Linked DNA regions of Oryza sativa Japonica Group. The protein of the gene in region 2 binds, or shares a complex with, the protein of the main gene of each other region. Links are inferred from orthologs where the notes say so. Each region holds a gene or a part of one and is shown on either strand. Other genes may lie near its edges.

The links. The genes of interacting proteins can lie anywhere in the genome.
Region 1: large ribosomal subunit protein uL4c (region 2) and large ribosomal subunit protein bL28c share a complex: the UniProt entries of both Arabidopsis thaliana proteins name them as parts of the 50S ribosomal subunit. The link is inferred for Oryza sativa Japonica Group from reciprocal best matches to the Arabidopsis thaliana genes RPL4 and PRPL28.
Region 3: large ribosomal subunit protein uL4c (region 2) and large ribosomal subunit protein uL29c share a complex: the UniProt entries of both Arabidopsis thaliana proteins name them as parts of the 50S ribosomal subunit. The link is inferred for Oryza sativa Japonica Group from reciprocal best matches to the Arabidopsis thaliana genes RPL4 and AT5G65220.
Region 4: large ribosomal subunit protein uL4c (region 2) and large ribosomal subunit protein cL37 share a complex: the UniProt entries of both Arabidopsis thaliana proteins name them as parts of the 50S ribosomal subunit. The link is inferred for Oryza sativa Japonica Group from reciprocal best matches to the Arabidopsis thaliana genes RPL4 and PSRP5.

What each region holds. Positions count from the first base shown.
Region 1 is NC_089039.1:104,682-108,835, forward strand, and holds large ribosomal subunit protein bL28c, read right to left. Parts: upstream 2,801-4,154; 5' UTR 2,758-2,800; coding exon 2,577-2,757; intron 962-2,576; coding exon 729-961; 3' UTR 412-728; downstream 1-411.
Region 2 is NC_089037.1:8,801,416-8,808,020, reverse strand, and holds large ribosomal subunit protein uL4c, read right to left. Parts: upstream 4,225-6,605; 5' UTR 4,157-4,224; coding exon 3,223-4,156; intron 2,063-3,222; coding exon 2,025-2,062; 3' UTR 1,808-2,024; downstream 1-1,807. Other genes in the region: peroxisomal nicotinamide adenine dinucleotide carrier, read right to left, coding at 5,227-5,429, 5,608-5,662, 5,754-5,822, 6,134-6,241, 6,322-6,390. UniProt on the Arabidopsis thaliana protein: This protein binds directly and specifically to 23S rRNA. May play a role in plastid transcriptional regulation.
Region 3 is NC_089036.1:32,213,802-32,217,301, reverse strand, and holds large ribosomal subunit protein uL29c, read right to left. Parts: upstream 2,247-3,500; 5' UTR 2,216-2,246; coding exon 1,862-2,215; intron 921-1,861; coding exon 777-920; 3' UTR 501-776; downstream 1-500.
Region 4 is NC_089035.1:9,871,216-9,874,296, forward strand, and holds large ribosomal subunit protein cL37, read left to right. Parts: upstream 1-1,253; 5' UTR 1,254-1,299; coding exon 1,300-1,408; intron 1,409-2,108; coding exon 2,109-2,431; 3' UTR 2,432-2,581; downstream 2,582-3,081.

The sequences.
Region 1 (4,154 bases), on a different chromosome or scaffold from region 2:
CAGAGGTTGCGCGTGTGTGGAGCTGCCGGGTTGCTCCACGTCTACAACTCAACACCTTTTTCTCGTCTCTACATTTTTAGAGAGAAAAAAAACAACCTTCTAATTTTGTAGGGGTTCATTATTCATTTAGGCTCTTATTAAATATCAATAGCTAAAAAGGGGAATAAAACAATCCATCAATTTCAGCTATCTCAAACCAGACAGGCCATAGCAGTAGAACAATCAATATTGGCGTAGGAGTTCCTTTTGTACAAAACAAACAGCTTTTCAATTTTGTACAAGTTAATTCTTTCATTTAGGCTCTTATTAAATATCAATAGCCAAAAAGGAAATAAAATAATTAATCAATTTCAGCTTAGACTGGAAGACACTCTAAAGTGAAAAGCGCAAGATGCCAACTGCACGACCTGATGCTGCTCAAGTTACATCCATCCATCTTATAATTCGTAACCAACATACAGTATTAATTAGGAACTCGACCGAAATGAAACACTAGTAGCAAACAATTCGAGCCGGACTTGCAGCAGCAACACGGGATAAAAGGAAATTTAAGGAAACGAAGCCGGCCACCACCACCGATGAATGCATACTGTAGTACTCTACAATAAATTGCATCATCGAGATGAATGGATTTAATAATGGACTACATACAGCTCTGGTCTATTCAGCACAGCGGCAATTGATGAGAGAATACATGTATGTATGCATCATGATGATGATGATTTGATTTATTTCTTGTTGAGGTCGATGCCGGCCTTTTTGGCGACGGCGTCGAGGCCATGCTTCTCGATGGTCTTGAGGGCTTTGGTGGAGAGACGCAGCTTGACGAAGCGCTTGCCTTCCTCCCACCACAGCTTCTTGTACTGCAGGTTCACAAACTGCTGCTTCTTCGTCTTGTGGTTTGAGAAGGACACCTTGTTCGCCCTGTTGGTCTTCTTGTCCGTGAAGGGGCATATCCGGCCTGAGTCACCCACCCCCACATCATACAACAACATCACCATACACGCCATCTTGTTCCTACTACTACTAGTTTCTATAATTTGTGGCATCATGCAAACAAAAGATAAAGTATAATCTCACCCTTTTAAATTACTTGTCCTTAACTTTATCATAAGCCAAACATTTAATATCATAATATTTATGTGTTTATATATGCATCATGAAAAGTACCTTCATAATATATAGTACAATTAACATGTTGTTAAACTTTACAAATTTCTAGAAATTGATAAGTCACAATTATCTTTTTAAATAAGAAATTGATAGTTAAAGTTATGAATGGTTGACTTAGAATAAAACTAAAACTATAACTTGAAATGGCCAGAATAGTTATATTTTTTCTTTTCCCCCTTCTTTCTTATATACACTAGTAAGAAGAAGAAGCTCTGCTTATGTCTTAGAGAAACAAAGAGATGGTTGTCAGACATAAACAAGCAACCATTTCAAATATATTCTAAACAACCCTGTTAAATTTCACTTGGCGCAAGGATATTATTGGCCTTAAGTTAGTGGCGTGGAATCATCTCTTTCCACGCATTGCTAATATAGTGTTGTCACACGAGAAAGATGACTTTAAATTGAATCTAACACCTGATGGAAGATTCTTGGTTAAAACTCATTATCTTGCACATACAAGAGTTCCCAATTTTAACAAACATATCTAGAAGTTAAAAATCCCTCTCAAAGTGAAAATGTTTCTATCGTATTTATGTCGAGGGGTGGTGTTAACAAAAGATAACCTGGCTAAACGGAATTGAAAAGGGAATAAGACCTATTGTTTTTACCACAAGGAAGAAACGATAAAGCATTTATTTTTTGAATGTCGGCTAGCCCGATCAGTTTGGTCTTTAATCCAGATTGCATCGAACATTTCTTCACCTAGGAGTGTGTCACATATGTCTGGACAATGGAGTTTGCGACAAAACAAAGAGTCTAGGCCTCCTTTTCTACTAGGAGTTGACTTGTTGGGCTATTTGGCTATAAAGGAATGATGTGATTTTTGACAGGAAAATTGTTTCTTCTTCTTTGCAGGTTATTTTCTTGATCACACATTGGCTCCGATCATGGATTATTCTCAAGAAGCCAGATTACAGGGGTTTTGTCTGTTCGGCTTGTCTTCATTTGGAGCATGTGGTCAAGGTTTTTTTTTTTTACCCAGGCACATGAGCGGCAACCTAGTCTTCCGATATTAGGTCCTTAATCGTTGAGTTAGTTCTGTTTTTCTTGTTGTGTGGTATCTATTGGTTGTGCACTGACATGGTGCAAAGAACGACCAAATTCAATAAAGCTTCCATTCTCTTAAAAATACAAAGAAAGATCTGAGTTTATGGTAATAGATTGACAGCTAGTCTATTTTCGAGAGATTAAAGCAATCAATTACTAACAAATAGGTCATCTGGTTCTAGTAGTAGTATATATACAGTGGAGTATTGGATAGCGCAAAAAAAAAACGAAGGATAAAGTAACAACTTTAATAGTAGCAGAAATGACATTGGTGGTGTAATATAAAACTGTAATGTCAATCTGCGGGTGGATGGCTCGAAACAGAGAGAAGAAGGAGGAGGCAGATGACGTACGCGCGAGGATGGGGTGGAGCTTGGGACCGGCGGCGGAGGGCGCGGTGGTGGCTGCGGCGGAGAGGCCGAGGCTGAGGCCGGCGAGTTGCGAGGTGGCGAAGCCGAGAGAGGAAGAGGAGGAGGAAGTGCGAAGGAGCGGAGCCCTGGTGGCGGGCGTGAAGGAGCAGAGCATGGTCGCCATCGCCACTGGAGCCTGGAGGAAGAAGAAGAAGAAGAAGAGGATCAAGTCTTGTGCGGCTGCGGCGTGGCGTACAACTTGTTTCTCCTATCCTATCATAATCGTCTCTCTATGTACTGTGTGAGCAGGGGCCCATATATCGTAGTACTGTAGAAAAGGGCGGCCCAAGCCCAACTCTCATTACTACTAGTATTACTCACAGTGATAAGTCCACTTATTATCCCTTATTTTACGTCGAGTTTAATGGTATCTCTAAACCGCAATACCAGCAATCTTCACCCCCTCCCCCCCATTTTGGAAAAACCTTCCAAGTCAGTCTCATGGTATTATGGATGACTGGTTTCACTAACGTGGCATACCAATCAGAAAATTAAAATTTAAAGTGGACTTCCTCCCAACCTGTCCCCTCTCTTCCCCATCTCTCCACCTCCCCCCTCTCTTTCCCATCTCCTCCAGTGGGGAGAGGGGCGGCGGCCAGCGAGCCCATCCACGGGAGGTGGTAATGGTGGTGGGAGGTCAGTGATGAGGTGGCTCCAGTGGTCCACGACGGGGGAGAAGAGGAGGTAGGTGAGGGAGCCGGCGAGTTCGAGCTCATGAGCTATCTGCAGGAAAGCCCAGTCGTGTCAGGAGTGTGAGGAGCCGCGGGGATGGGAAGGGGGTGCTGCGGTGGTGGCGGCAAAACTTGAGCTCAAGCGGTAGTGATGAAGATGAGTACGCATGCGGAGGGTGACGTTGTTGATGGAGGTGTTGGGGAAGAAGCAAGTGAACTAGAGGGACAATGTCGTGTCGCACACCACCAACTCCCACACATTCTCGCGAGCATCCAAGATGGGGACAGTAGCAAAAGTCTGGCTCCCACTTCCAGATCCCCTTCGCATCAACCTCCATTCCAGATAGCACACTTCTACCCACTGGTCCACCTCCTCCTCTTCCTCATACTCCTCCACATCGCTCTTGGGCTCCTCCTCGTTGATGGCTTTTGAAGTGGAGACAGTGGAGCTCTCGGAGGAGACAGACCGGCATGCTCGCGACGACATCGCAACACCGGGTCGAGGTCGAGCCGGCCCCTACTTCTCTTTTCCGTCTTCAAGAACAGCCTCCTTGACTTCCGCCCACCCATCCCTCGCCGAAGGAGCTATCAAAGAGGTCACCCGAGAAGATGTGGAGTTGATTCTCTCCTCCTTGATGGCCAGGAAGACAGGAAGAGGACCCTCTCGCAGGCGGTGTGGAGGATTGTTGTCTGTCCTACCAGTGTTGGTGTGTGGTGGACCGACAAGGCTCCTCTAACTTAAGTCAAAGGGACATGCATCTCTAACATGTGGGCCTATAAAGGTGGGCCGCACCTGTCAAGGACTCATATCCTTCTAACTTTAAGTCAGAGGAGCTCCTTTCGTGGTGGA
Region 2 (6,605 bases):
CAAAGTCTGGAAAATAAACTACGATAAAAATACCTTTAAATCAACTTTAAATTTAAAGTTAAAAATTTAAATTTTAGCTAATAAGTATAAATATAAATGAAAAGATGGACTGTAAAGCTTTTGGGTCAAACAACCACAAAGCACTATGAATCGGAGCAAAGTAACTTGGCCCATTGGCCACAAAGCTGTGGATGGACTAATCGACAGCGACGTGTGCAAACTTTACGACACGGATGATAAAAGAGCTCCGAAGGAGATCAGACCAACACGCCGAAAAGCAACCGACAACGACGATAATGTCTAAGATTTATACCATCATGCTAACTTATTTCTTCCACTGGTGTTTTCGTGTCCTAACAGTAGCCTGAAGGATGAATCAACCGTTTTTCCTGTTACTTCCGGAGACTCTGAGATGATCTGGTATATTTTTAGTTTAAGAATCCCACCCAGTAAATTCAGTTGCACAACAGCAGCCAGTGGCACAATAGAATTCTGCTGCATATTTGCACAGAACTTAATACGGTGAGTGACATTTAGTGTAGTGGTAAGTTTTCTTTCTAATGATTCCTTCCAAGGAGCATAATGCAGACCTAACATGTAGGGACGGAAACAGTTATAGTCAATCGATCCAATATTCCAAACTAGAACCAATCAATGGCCAGTCTCAAGAAAAAAAAAAGAGAGTGAAATTATGTGCTCAGGTCCATCCCCATAATTTGTATGCCTTTTATGCATAGTGGGCTAGTATAATATGGATAGCTTTTTGCCCACCAAAAAGTTTAAAAGATAGTGCCAAAGAAGCTGGCTCAACCTAAGCAAGACTCTTCCCTTTTCGGTTCATAGATACAGCACTATTATGTCAGTCACAATCTCACAAATGATTTCTTTAGATATTGTTGAAAGCAGAGTAAGACAGAGCAAACTATAAGTAAATTCTACCGATAGCACCAGCTAAAAATGACATAAAATACTAGACATAGCAAAAGACCAGATCTTGCACCTTTCTAAAGTACAGACGCAGCTTTGCCCATAAGCCCATAATCCACTTGTAGTGCAATGTCAGAACAATTAGAAAGGTGATGATCTGGTCCAAAGTTGTCTGGGTGGACTTAAGGATGGCCCAACAACTCTTCTTGCATGACCCAGGTAAGAAAGAAAAATGATGGAATCATTATGGTTAGGCATAAGCAGAGGGTTGGTTCACTAAACCCTCAGGTGATCTACAAGTAAACCTGAGCAAAATGGTCTGTTGTTTACGACTGATCTGGGCTTAGAGTTTCAAGATCAGCATCTAACCCGGGCTATGCTGCTCCAGTGCTCCATGTCCAAGTTGAGCTAGGCTACTTTCCACATTGTAAAATGCAGCAAGTCCTCTGAAAAGACTTGTTAGTTGTTACTTGTTAGAGCTCACCCAGCGAAAAAGTTAGTCATAACAAGGAACAATTCAACAATTTAAGGAGACAAGATTTTGTAATCATACCCCTACTCAAGATGTTACTCTCTCCATTTTATATTATAAGTCGTTTTGACTTTTTTCGGAGTCAAACTTCTGTACGTTTGACTAAGTATATAGAAAAAAAATGGTAACATTTATAATACCAAACTAGTTTTATTAAATGTAACTTTGAATATATTTTTGATAACATGTTTGTTTTGTGTTAAAAATGTTATTATTTTTTCTATCATTTTGGTCAAAATTAAATAAGTTTGACTAGGAAAAAAAAGTCAAAATGATTTATAATATGAAACGGAGGGAGTAGAAAATTAGTGGTAACCAGCAGGTCAACACTGGTTTTTTGAAGCAAGATTGGGAAGCACTTTCTGTATAAAATTGGAAGAAAAATATGCAGTGGTTGACACGACATTGTATTTGAAAATATATGTGCAGTTTGAAGATCTAATATACTGCATCAGTGAAAAAAAAACATTATAAACTTACAACAAAAGTAAGCCAAAAAGCTTCTGCATCAGGGAAGCAATTACCAGACCAACAAACGAAAAACACGCGATCTACACCTCCTTCCCTAGGAATTGCTATCAGCCTCAGTCTCTGCAGCCTCATCTGAAAGTCATACAAAAAGAAGTTCCTGAGAAATGCTCAAAATAAGAGAAAGTTATAATATGCAGCACCAAAATGTAACAGAGAACTGAATGTCAATTAATAATAACTTAGTCCTGTAGCTATGCATAGTATTTACGAAAAGGAAGTGCTTGAGTGATGGAGAAAACATGTGTTTAACTAGGTTTTACCTCTAAAGCAACTTAAACCAGCATATTCACAGCTAACTACTTTATTAAGATGGTTCTAAGGTCTAACAGAACATCTTTGAAGTGAATGATGACAGTGCCAATGGCTGACAATGTTTCAAGTGATAGGTGATAGGGGTAGCTGTGTGGCACAGCAGATTGTGACACTATTATAAGGAGTGTACCAGTATCCCCAGAGTTCTGGTTCAGTGGTGTTCATGGATTCCATGCAGTCTCATTTCTTCTTATTTTTTAGTTTAGTGCTTAGGACTTAATCCACCTTCAGCCGAAAATTTAACCACCATTAGGTGAAGTCATTTTCTATTCGCAAATTGTTGAGTTGCTCATGAGCTCTGAATAAAAACCCTAAGGAGGTGCAAAATAACGAGTAAAATACAGACTCAGTGGGTCTACTGAGAGCTAGCATAGGGGTAGGTGGATCTCTAAGCATGCTTCTAAAATAGACCATTGAATTATGTCATGGACTTATTGGATCTTTCAGGAGGAAAAAAAACCATACGATGTACATTAGCATGGTAAGCATTTTTCCTTTTGCATGCTGGTAAGGATAAGAGAACTATTTCGAAAAAAAAATTAGCTCCATAAGTCTACAAGGCCACAAAGAATTTCTCCATAATAATTAAGATGGTATTCATAAGACAAAACTGGCTACATTTTCTGTTTCTTTGCCACGTTATCTTGTTTTTACCCTTAAAACGCATGTCAGGATCTTTATCAGCATACGTATAGCATCGATCATGATATTTACAACAGAGCATAGCTAAGAGTTAAAAGATAAAAAAAAAAACTACTGTACATGCCATTAAAGCAGAGCATTTTCTCTCCTAACTATCAACTAAAACATGTAAAATAAAGGATCACTGGATAGCATTAGTTACTCAAAGTCATTTCGCACATGCCCACCATAGAAACAATAAAAAGACACCTGGAAATTGTTCATGCATAGCTATGTACCTTGAGCAGCCTCCTCTGCGCTCCCTTCTCCTTCTTGCAACTCCTCTGCTTCCTCCTCACCATCATCCTCGCCATTGGTATCATCCTCATATTCATCAAAAACGGTGGCACCATACCTGGAGTTGAGATAGTTAATGGCGGCCGGGGTGAAGAAGAGCTTGCGGGCATCGAGGATGTCGTATAGGTTGAGAGTCCTGGGGGTTAGCATCTTGAGGGAGCCAATGTTCCTTCCGCTGAGCCGCACATTGTCTGCAAAATCCGTGGCGAAGAACATGGCCTTCTCCTTGGGGTCGAGCCCCCACCGCTGAAGCGCGGCCACGAAGTCCCTGGTCTTGGGACCCGCGGCGAACTCCTCGTCGAACTCCTCCACGACGAATGCATCGTCGGCCACGGCGGCACTGGCGAGCGCGGTGGAGATGGCGAGGCGCTTCTCCTTGCGGTTGATCTTGATGGACCAGTCGCGGGGCTTGGGCCCGAATATGACGCCGCCGCCGGGGCGGAGCGGCGTGCGCATCGACCCGCGCCGCGCCTTCCCCGTCTTCTTCTGCTGGTAGGGCTTCCTGCCGCCTCCCCTGACCTCGCCGCGGGTGAGCGTGGAGGCCGTGCCGCGGCGCTTGTTCTGGCGGTCGGTGATGATGGCGCGGTGCACGACGGCGCGCGCGGTGGAGGGCGGCGCCGACTTGAGGTCGAGGGCGACCTCCCCGACCTTCTCCCCGGTGAAGGAGAGAACCGGGAGGGTGGCCGCCTCGGCGCGAAGGGCGCGGAGGACGGAGATAGCCGCCTTCTGCTTGCCGGCGGCGACGGCGACGCGCGGGGAGGAGGAGGCGGCGGCGGCGGCGGATGGGAGGAAGGAGACCGAGGTGGGGGAGAGGAAGGGCGAGGAGGAAGAGGAGAGCGAGAGGAGGAGAGTCGAGGCCACGGAGGAGGCGGCCATTGCGGCGGCTTCGCTCGCTGCGGTGCGCTGCGTGGGCTGGACGACGGGGAGGCTTTGCCGCTGCAGCTGCGGAGCGGCCGCTTCTCTATCTCCTTATCCACCCCCACCCGACCGGACCGGCCACACTCTCGCGAGTGTCAGCTTAGTCGGTCGCGCCAGACCAGTAAGATACACACACTACTATGTGTTTGGATTTTAGAAGAAGCATCTCTTCATTAAAAAAACTTAGATATTGTTAAAGAAAAACCCTCGAGGCAGTATTAGTCTATTAGATGGTGTTTTTTTTCTAATAAAGATGAAATAAAATAGGAAAGCAAAATGAAAACGGCCCATTAGCTTATGTTTAATTAAGTTTTGATTATTTTAAACTTGAAATTGATTTATTTGATATTTTAAAATATTTTTATGTAAAAAATTCATATGAAACATACCATTTAGCAGTTTAAAAAATGTGTTAGGAAGAATTTGCATCTTAGTAAAGAAGGAGGCTTAGTTTCACCAAAATGAGTTTGAAATAATCAAATTAAATTTCATTTCCTTTTTGTCGGGTCAGATTGCTCATTAGCACTTGTGTATCAGAACAGTTGCCTGAGAACCACATTGACAGATGGGGCGCACCATAGACACAGTTATGCTAAAAATGGACAGGAACTCCAAATTTTCTACTTCTACTTTTGTTCTGAACACTTGCGAAGTTTTCACGATTGCGATCCTCTTCTCGGTTAGCTCTAACAAACAAGCTAAAGAAACTCAAGTAATCTGAACAGATGACTAGCGCTTGCGATTCTCATTGCCAACTTATTTTCTAGTGTTTCAATCTTCCATAACAGTATACTTTACACGAGCAACAGAGATAGCCTACCCAATATATACCATCATTATTGGTTCCTACAAGAATCACAGTGGTAATTGTACTACATCTTTAATCTCCTTTTTTTGGAGAGCCTACAGTCGATCAGAGTCTCACAGATAACTTGATATCTCCTAACAGGGGCGCTTGGCAACTCTGTCCATCGCTTTATGGAAACAATTGTGGTATAAGTAGGGAACTAACTCTTGTACAACCTAGATCATCTTAATGGCTTCGATGGTAACTTCTTAACAAGGCTGGTGTTGCCGGTTACCAATAATCGAGCGCCCTTCACCAGTTCCTCCTTAATCATAAAAAGGAGAGCAGAAGCAAAAACACTTTGTACGATTTTTGTGCTCATTCCTTTATAAAGCCCTGACAAACCTTCATAACGTATCATCTTTGTGATCGCATCAAATGTGCCTGCAAGCAATAAAATTTGCATAGCGTATTTGGTAACAAAGTCAGAGAACAGCAAATATTATTACCAGAAGAGAAGTAAAGACTATCAGAAACAGGATATGGAGCAACATCACTCATTAAATAATAATTCACTCTAAATAATAAAATGAAGTTTAAAGAATAAAGGCCAGCGATGTACCTTTGTAGCGGTGCCTCTTGTCATCATCAATTATTTGCTTCACCTGAAGTCTTGCCTGTAGAAAAAAAAAACATGGTTTAACTTGACATGTCTGCTCAATTGTGCACAGAAACGGCTGCTGCTGTAACTGGTGTTCAAATAATCACCTTCACAACTAGAAGAGGATATGTAACAACAGTCGCACCCAGTTTGGCAACAGCACCAAGAAGGAAAATCTGAACAAGGATTTTACAGCGTGAGATGAAGACGGTCTATAACATAGCTAACTAACAAAGAAATAGTAGTATTAGGAGCATATAAGAAATACTAGTGTTTTCAGCAAATCATCATGGTAAATGAAGTTAAGACATGCAACATATAATTACTGGACATGAAACATCGTTACTAGAAGAACAAACTTTCAAGTCAGCGTTACGGGTAGATTCAGGCCCCAATGCAGCAAGTTAGCATGATGCAAATTGGTTATATCCTAATAAATCTGTACAATGATCCCAGTCACCAGAAAAGCCAAAAGCCAAAAGCTTACTTCAAGAGCAGTCAGTCCATCAGCTCCCTTCAAATTAGAGGCACGTCTCTTTTTCAACTTCTTCAAAAGAGTCTCGTACAACATGAATTGGATTGCAGGGTTGCTAACCTGATGACAGATGAAACATGGAAACAATAACTTGTAAAAAAGAAATAACTTAGCAAAAGAAAATGCGACATAAGACTTACCATAATAAGAGCTGGAACTACACCTTTCCAGAAGCCCAAAAATCCAGCTTCTTTGTAAAGGTCCTGAATCTGCAGCCAAACGGAGTCAATCAACCATGCCCCAAACAAAGTCTGAATCATTAGCACTTGCATATTGACTATATGAAGTACTTAGGAGGACAAGTTTTACTTGGTTTTCAGAGATGAAGGATGGGTTTTATCCGCAGTTTAGGGACAAAAAAAAAAAGCTGAGCTAACAGTTTAGGAACTGGGATGAGGCCTAGGAAAAACTAAATGAGGCCTTT
Region 3 (3,500 bases), on a different chromosome or scaffold from region 2:
CTCTCTACATCTCAAGTTAAGATCTGTTGAAGAGATCAGAATAACAAGTTTTGGCTGAAGGGCCAAGCCACCTGGGCTTGCTTATGAAACTGATGATGGATCTAGGATGGCTCCCTAGCTCTGTGCAGAGATACCTGCAGCATACTCTAAAGCTAGAGTAGAAGGGGAAAGCCCAACATGCTTTAGGACAGTCTAACAGAGCTAGTTTAAGCATAAATCAGTGTTGAACAATAACATAAATCTAGGTGACCGACACAACAAGCCACAAGAACGTGGGCTTGGAGACAGTTGTACAGTTTTGAAACGTTTGATAAAACAGTGAACTTGAGTTTGGAGCAAAGCAGGGCACCAAAATTCCAAGCGAACTATTATAGACATGGCCTAATTCTCTTGTTTTTGTTACTCCGTATTCCAGAGACACTTCTTTAGAACTCTGCATATCTGCCTCTTATAGTATGTACGTACCCACAACTTTGTGACAGGTGAATTTGAATAGGCAGTTTGAGTTTCAACAAGTGTATAGCATACACTCGTTAAGCACAGTTTCATATATCAGTAATATAAGTGCATATATGGACAACACATTTTGAATAAACTGAAATTTACACAAATGGAATTGGTAATAGAACTTTTGGTTTTGACAGCAAGGACTTGGAAATCAGTTAATGTGAATTACATATCAATCCATTATAAGGAATGAAACCACAGGGAGAAAGAAACCTTCCTTCAAGACATGCATGAAATGACTTCTACAGACTGTCTGCTTTTGTGGCTCTCTATTCCTCCTTGTTCTCCCTTAGAGATGGTGGTGGTCTAACCACGATGCTTTGCTTCCATTTCCTGTCAAGCTTCCTAGACAATCTCTTGTTGATTCCTTGTTCAATTTCCCGTTCTCTTTTGACAGTCAGCATACGAGCAATCTGATGCGAAGATGACAACCCAAGTCAATGCTAAATTTAGATAGTAGAAAGCTGCTATTGAAGCAAGATGAGCAGGGTGAGAAAAACAACAGGAAAAAAAAATCTGATATCCTCCTCCTAAAAGGCAAGAAGCATTGATCGAGGCAGATATAAGTATGCATTACTCTGCTGCTAACTATTTGTCCTGTGCTGTCCCTGAGCAGAGGTGGAGACCTGAACTCCAAAGCAAGTGATAATTCATAACAATTGACTTATCAGAAGCCCTCAAGAAGAACAAGGTATCACATAACTGACCGTAGAATTAGTTCTTGTGTACTATCTGCATTTTGACGTCCTCAGAACAAAGTTTTGTTCCATTTTAAATTTTGGTCCACTGAAGGTTAATTTAACACTACTTTCCCAAGAACAGTATAAAAGCTCTTCAGATACACATTGCATTGCAATATCATTCTTCATGTAGTACTCTATGCACTAAAATCCAATAAACAATACTACAAACCCAAAGTAGATACTATGTAAGAATACGTAAATGGATGTCAGCATGACTTTCTAATCAAATTAAGTAAAAAAAAATTGCTTCTGAGACTGAAATTGTCCAAGCATTAACCCAAATCATCTGTAAATTCAGTATGGGCCAATATGCAACTGATAAAAATCAGGCAAAATTCCACCAACAAATTGGTAAGTTATTCCACTATTCTGAACCTGAAATCAACTCAATATATCTGAACATAATCAACTCAGTACTAGAGGTTGAACAAAAGGGCCTTGTAAACAGAACACACTGAGCAGAACATGCGACCACTCCACACCCATTTGGAAGTAGAAGGTGGAATTTCCACTCGTAGGTTGAACGCATTTTGGCCAGGAGTAAATGCTAAACTTTCGCAATGGAATTAGCAGTTGTGGTATATCTGTACCCCATGGAGTAAGAGACATACCCTCTTGCGCATGCGGCCGAACTCGCTGGATTTGAACTCCTGGCGCGCGGAGCGCTTGAGGCGGAGCATGAAGAGCTCCCCCTTCAGGTCCACCACTTCCTCCTCGATCTTCTCCGTCGGCATGGCCCGAATCTCCTCCAGCTCCTGCTCCCTCTTCGCCATCCTGGCCACGGCCGCGTCGCCCCTCCCCGCTGGCAGCCGCGGCGGCGCCGCCGCCGCCGCCAGTCCCGGGAACGGCGCCAGCGACGCCCCTCCGGTCAGGAGGCCGAGGAAGGCCGTGCGGGGAGTGGAGACGGCGAGCCCACGGGGAGTCGAGGCGAGGGGGGACGCCGCGGCGAGGGACATCGTCGCCATCTTTTGCGCTGCGCTCGCGTCTGCGCTCTCTGCCGGTCGGGGTTCGTGGATAAGGGGGTTTATCTGGTCATGTTGATTAGCCACTCGGGGCACGAATCTTCAAGCATTATCGGACGGCTTTCACTTGCTTAATATGCATGTCACATCTCTAAATATCGAAATCTACGCGGATTCGCGTGCAAATAACCCCTCCACGTGGCGCTGCACGATTCCAGCTTTCGTCTCCCTCTCGCAGCCGTCAGATCACAGATCAACGGTGTGGAATAGCTGCGGTGGACCTCGTTGTAATATGTGAGGTTTTAGGGGTCTTTTTGAAAAAGTTATACCAAACCTGCAATGCCCTTCTCTCCGCCGGCGCCCCCGCCCCCGCTTCCTCCGCCTCATTCGTCGGAGGTCGACTTGTCCTCCTACGCCGATGTCGCCGCCTCTTCCTCCTCCCCGCGCTCCAGCTCCACCTCCGCCCCTCCGACGCCCTAGGCTGACCCTCCCACGCGCCAGCGCGCCGTTCTGTGCCGTCTTTCCCCTCAAGTTCGGCGGCGGTGGCATAGATCCACCTCGTCGCTGGATGGGGCGATGAGTTCGGTTGCCGTGCTTGGGGATGGGGAGGAGGAAATCACATGCATCGCTACGTCCGTCTTCGCTTCTGCCTTTTGATTCGCCGACCGCCTCTCTCCCCAAGTCGCGGCACCAAGGGGATCTCGGACGGAGGCCACTGGCCGTGCAACAAAGGGCGTGGCTGAGGACCGTGCTACCGCCGCCGGATGCCGTCATGCAGGAGCGGGAGCTCCCTCCCCTGCTTCCCTACGGGTTCACAGTTTCACACCACAGCTGATTAATTCCACCTGTAATTAAGAAAAAAGAAGGAATTTCTTTTGTTGTTTTCGTTGATTTTTGCGTGTTACACGATGCTACTGAATAATGCTCAGATTGGCACCAAGGAATGAATGAGTTGCCAAAAATTAACTGTCACATTGTAACATGTTTTGTCTTTGTCTGAAATCTGAAGAGTTGGCCTTTCTTGACTTACAGTACGAGGGTGGTGCAGCTGAGGGTAGCAGAAGACCAAGCATCTGGAACACCTTCACACATCAGCACCAAGGCATGTTAACTACATCTCTGTTCACCTTTGCCTGCTTAAGCTGTGCTCTGTACAGAATTATGTTAATCAAGTTCAATTAAGTGTATTTGTATATCTACAAGTATAAAATTTGTCCTATTTAGCAACCAGAAACACTTCAACGATGTAAAGCAGAAATTAACAAGCTGAATACACAATGACAGAAAG
Region 4 (3,081 bases), on a different chromosome or scaffold from region 2:
GGTCATCCTAGTTGCAATCGCCGATAGGTTGATGTCGAGTAGCCATTGGCCAGATTTGGTGGCCTACTGTAGAGTTCTGTTTTTCTTCCAGAAAGTCGCTTAGACCAGAGGGGCCAACTTCCTTAAGCCTTCTCCCTTGCAACCAAGCAAAGTCCCAGAATTTCGCTTTTGTACCATCTCCAACTGTCGTCGTCGTTCCCACAAAGAGGAGTTTGCCAATGTTGTCGCAAGGCGTCTCCGACCCCACTCAAAGCTTTCTTAGATAAACAATGTAGCAATCAGTGGCGCTTGGCGAGCCCATGGTTCAATTTTTCGTTTTCAGTATTTGTATTGGGGTGCTGATATACCGAAATTTGGTCCAGAATTATTTGAATTTTCGAACAAAATTTGGTCAAATTTGAATAAATATTACTAAATTCACACAAAAGAATAAAAAAAACTTTGGTCGAACCGGAAATTTGAACCCTGCGAGCCAGCCTGCGAGACTTGTCGTAGATTCTGTAAATCTTCTCTGACACTGATACAACGATGGCTCGTGCATCATCCTCATCCTCCTCTCCGGCAGCATTGATGTCCATGTCGAAGCTACGCTCGGCTGGAGGATCTCTGCACGCTCCATAATCTTGATGGGTGTCCGCGAGCTGAAGGAGCAGAAGCTTCCATCCCCAATGGCGCACGAGAGCTGACGACCCGGATCAACCATTGGCAGCAGCTCCTGTACAGACACCTCCTCGTCCTCGATGCTGAAACTGCTCTACGCCGGCGACGGCGACGGCGACGGCGACGACGAGGAGGAGACATTCTTGATGCGGTACACGGCGGCGCCGGCGCGTGCTTCGGCTTGGAGTGGGAGACGAAGAGGTTGTCGCTAGCTGCTCTTCTCATCACCGATGGGCACCCGCTTGGCCGTCGAACGGGAGGTTCTTGTCGTCGGCGAGCTCCCCCACCTCTTGCTATCCACGTCGAACGCAGGATGTGGCGGCCGGCGGCGGCGTAGGACGCGACGGCGAGCGCGGCCGGGCGGAGGGGACGCCGCCGATGCGGATTGTCGCCGCCACCCGCGGCGGCGGCGGAGGCGGCGAGAGGAGAAAAAGAAAATCAAAATCAAAATTTCTCTCCACCTATGACATGTGGGCCAACTGCCAAGCAGCCTTACTTGACGGAGATTAAATCTGGCCGTTGATTCTCCATCGGACGGCGGAGCGCTCACAGCAGCACAGGCTTATCTCCTCCCTCCGGGCTGATGGGTGGATAGGCTGACGACGGGCCAAGAAGCCGAATCCCACACTGCCCGTGGCCATGGCGCTGCTCCTCTCCCCGACCGTCTCCTTCCTCGCCTCCTCCTCCGCCTCCCCGCCTCGCGCCAGAGCTCTCCCCGCCTCCGCCAATGTCGCCTCCACCATCCCCGGTAACCTCCGTGAACGCCTTCTCCGTACCGGGACTTTTGCGCATAAGTTACTCGGGTTGTGGGGTGTTGGTTCTTGGATTGGATTATGCTGAGTGGGTACGAGGCTATCCATTGTTGTGAGGTGTGATTTGTAATTCGGTGGGAGGATTGGTCTAGATATTTGACGTTGGTGATTCGTGGCGTTTCTGATTCTCTGGGATGCGGTTGGCTCGTTAGGGAATTTCTTCAAACACGTCGTGTGCAGATGCAGTAATTCGTGGGAGATTCCGTGCATTTATCATCTCTGTACAAAGCTAGGTATAATTCATCTCAGTGAACTCTGCAGATTCTCGAAGCTTTGGTTCTTTCGTGCTTAAATGATAATATCAGATGCTATGTAAGCACCGGTCACTGGCAAAGGGTGACATTCGTAGTACACCCTACATTTGGGGCCTGATTGTTAATAGATGAGTAGATTTTACATATCTGTGCTCTGCTAAGATTCATCATAATATGTAATTGAGAACACTAGGATTGTTACTAGTTATTGTACTATATACTATCCATGAAGTGGCACACATGAGCTAGACTTATTAGCTTTCAAGTTTCTTATATGACGGAGATTCTATCAAAATTTTGAAAGTAGCATGCATGTACTCTGAATTCTATATCTAAAATGATGCACATTGAGGCTTGCCATTTGTCCTTTCTGATGCTACAGCCCCAAGGCTCCAGTGCAAGAATCTCTCCTCGCAGAGCCCTCTGAATGCTTCTTTCACCAAGAAGAGGCTAGTTTCTGTCCATGCCTCGGCAGAGGCTGGCGCAGAAGAAGCTGGCACAGATCAACCAGAGGAGCCAAAACCCACGGTTTCGATTGAGACAATGCCGCTCGAAACTAAGCAGAAGATGATCATGGAGCAGAGGGCGAAGATGAAGCTGGCCAAGAAGCTGAGGCAGCGGCGCAGGAGGCTTGTCCAGAAGAGGCGGCTGAGGAAGAAAGGTAGATGGCCACCATCCAAGATGAAGAAGCTCAAGAACGTCTAACCAGCAGTGATGTCGGTCGCTGTTCTTCTGTACACCTCTATGTTCTGTTCATCCGTCTCTGTATTTCCTAAGCTGATGCCCAGCGAATTTTGCTGTTCAAAATATGAAACACAATGTTTGCAAAATGTGATTATTTCTTTCCCGATGAAATTTCATCTTGTATTTTTTAGATAATGGATAAACCGGTCACCGTTAAAAACACACAAAGCCCAGTACTGAACAAATTTTCTTCTAACATGTCCCTCCTTTTTCTCCTTTAGGCTTTAGCTGTCCTACAGAAGTACCACTAAATCTAATGTGTGTTCCCATAGTGGAAATATCATATGCACCTTGATGCCTTCTGTGTTTGTCAAAAACTCAAAATCATAGCAAATTTCAAGAAGCCTTGCTGTGCTGCACTCTATATTTGTGAGGTATTTGCCTGTATATACACTTCCATGATGTGTTTTGTTAGGGCCTCTCACAACTCTTTCGTCTGACCTGATGTTGATTAAAGCACAAAGGATCAACCTGGACAAGGAAATAACTGGAGCAAATTCGGGTTTGTTTGTTGTTTGCCACTTTGTCAGGCACGATGTGAACAATCTGAAGAGTGCCATTTTCGATTTTTTTTCTGATGCCCTTCCTGTTGATGTGGTTGTAAAATTTAT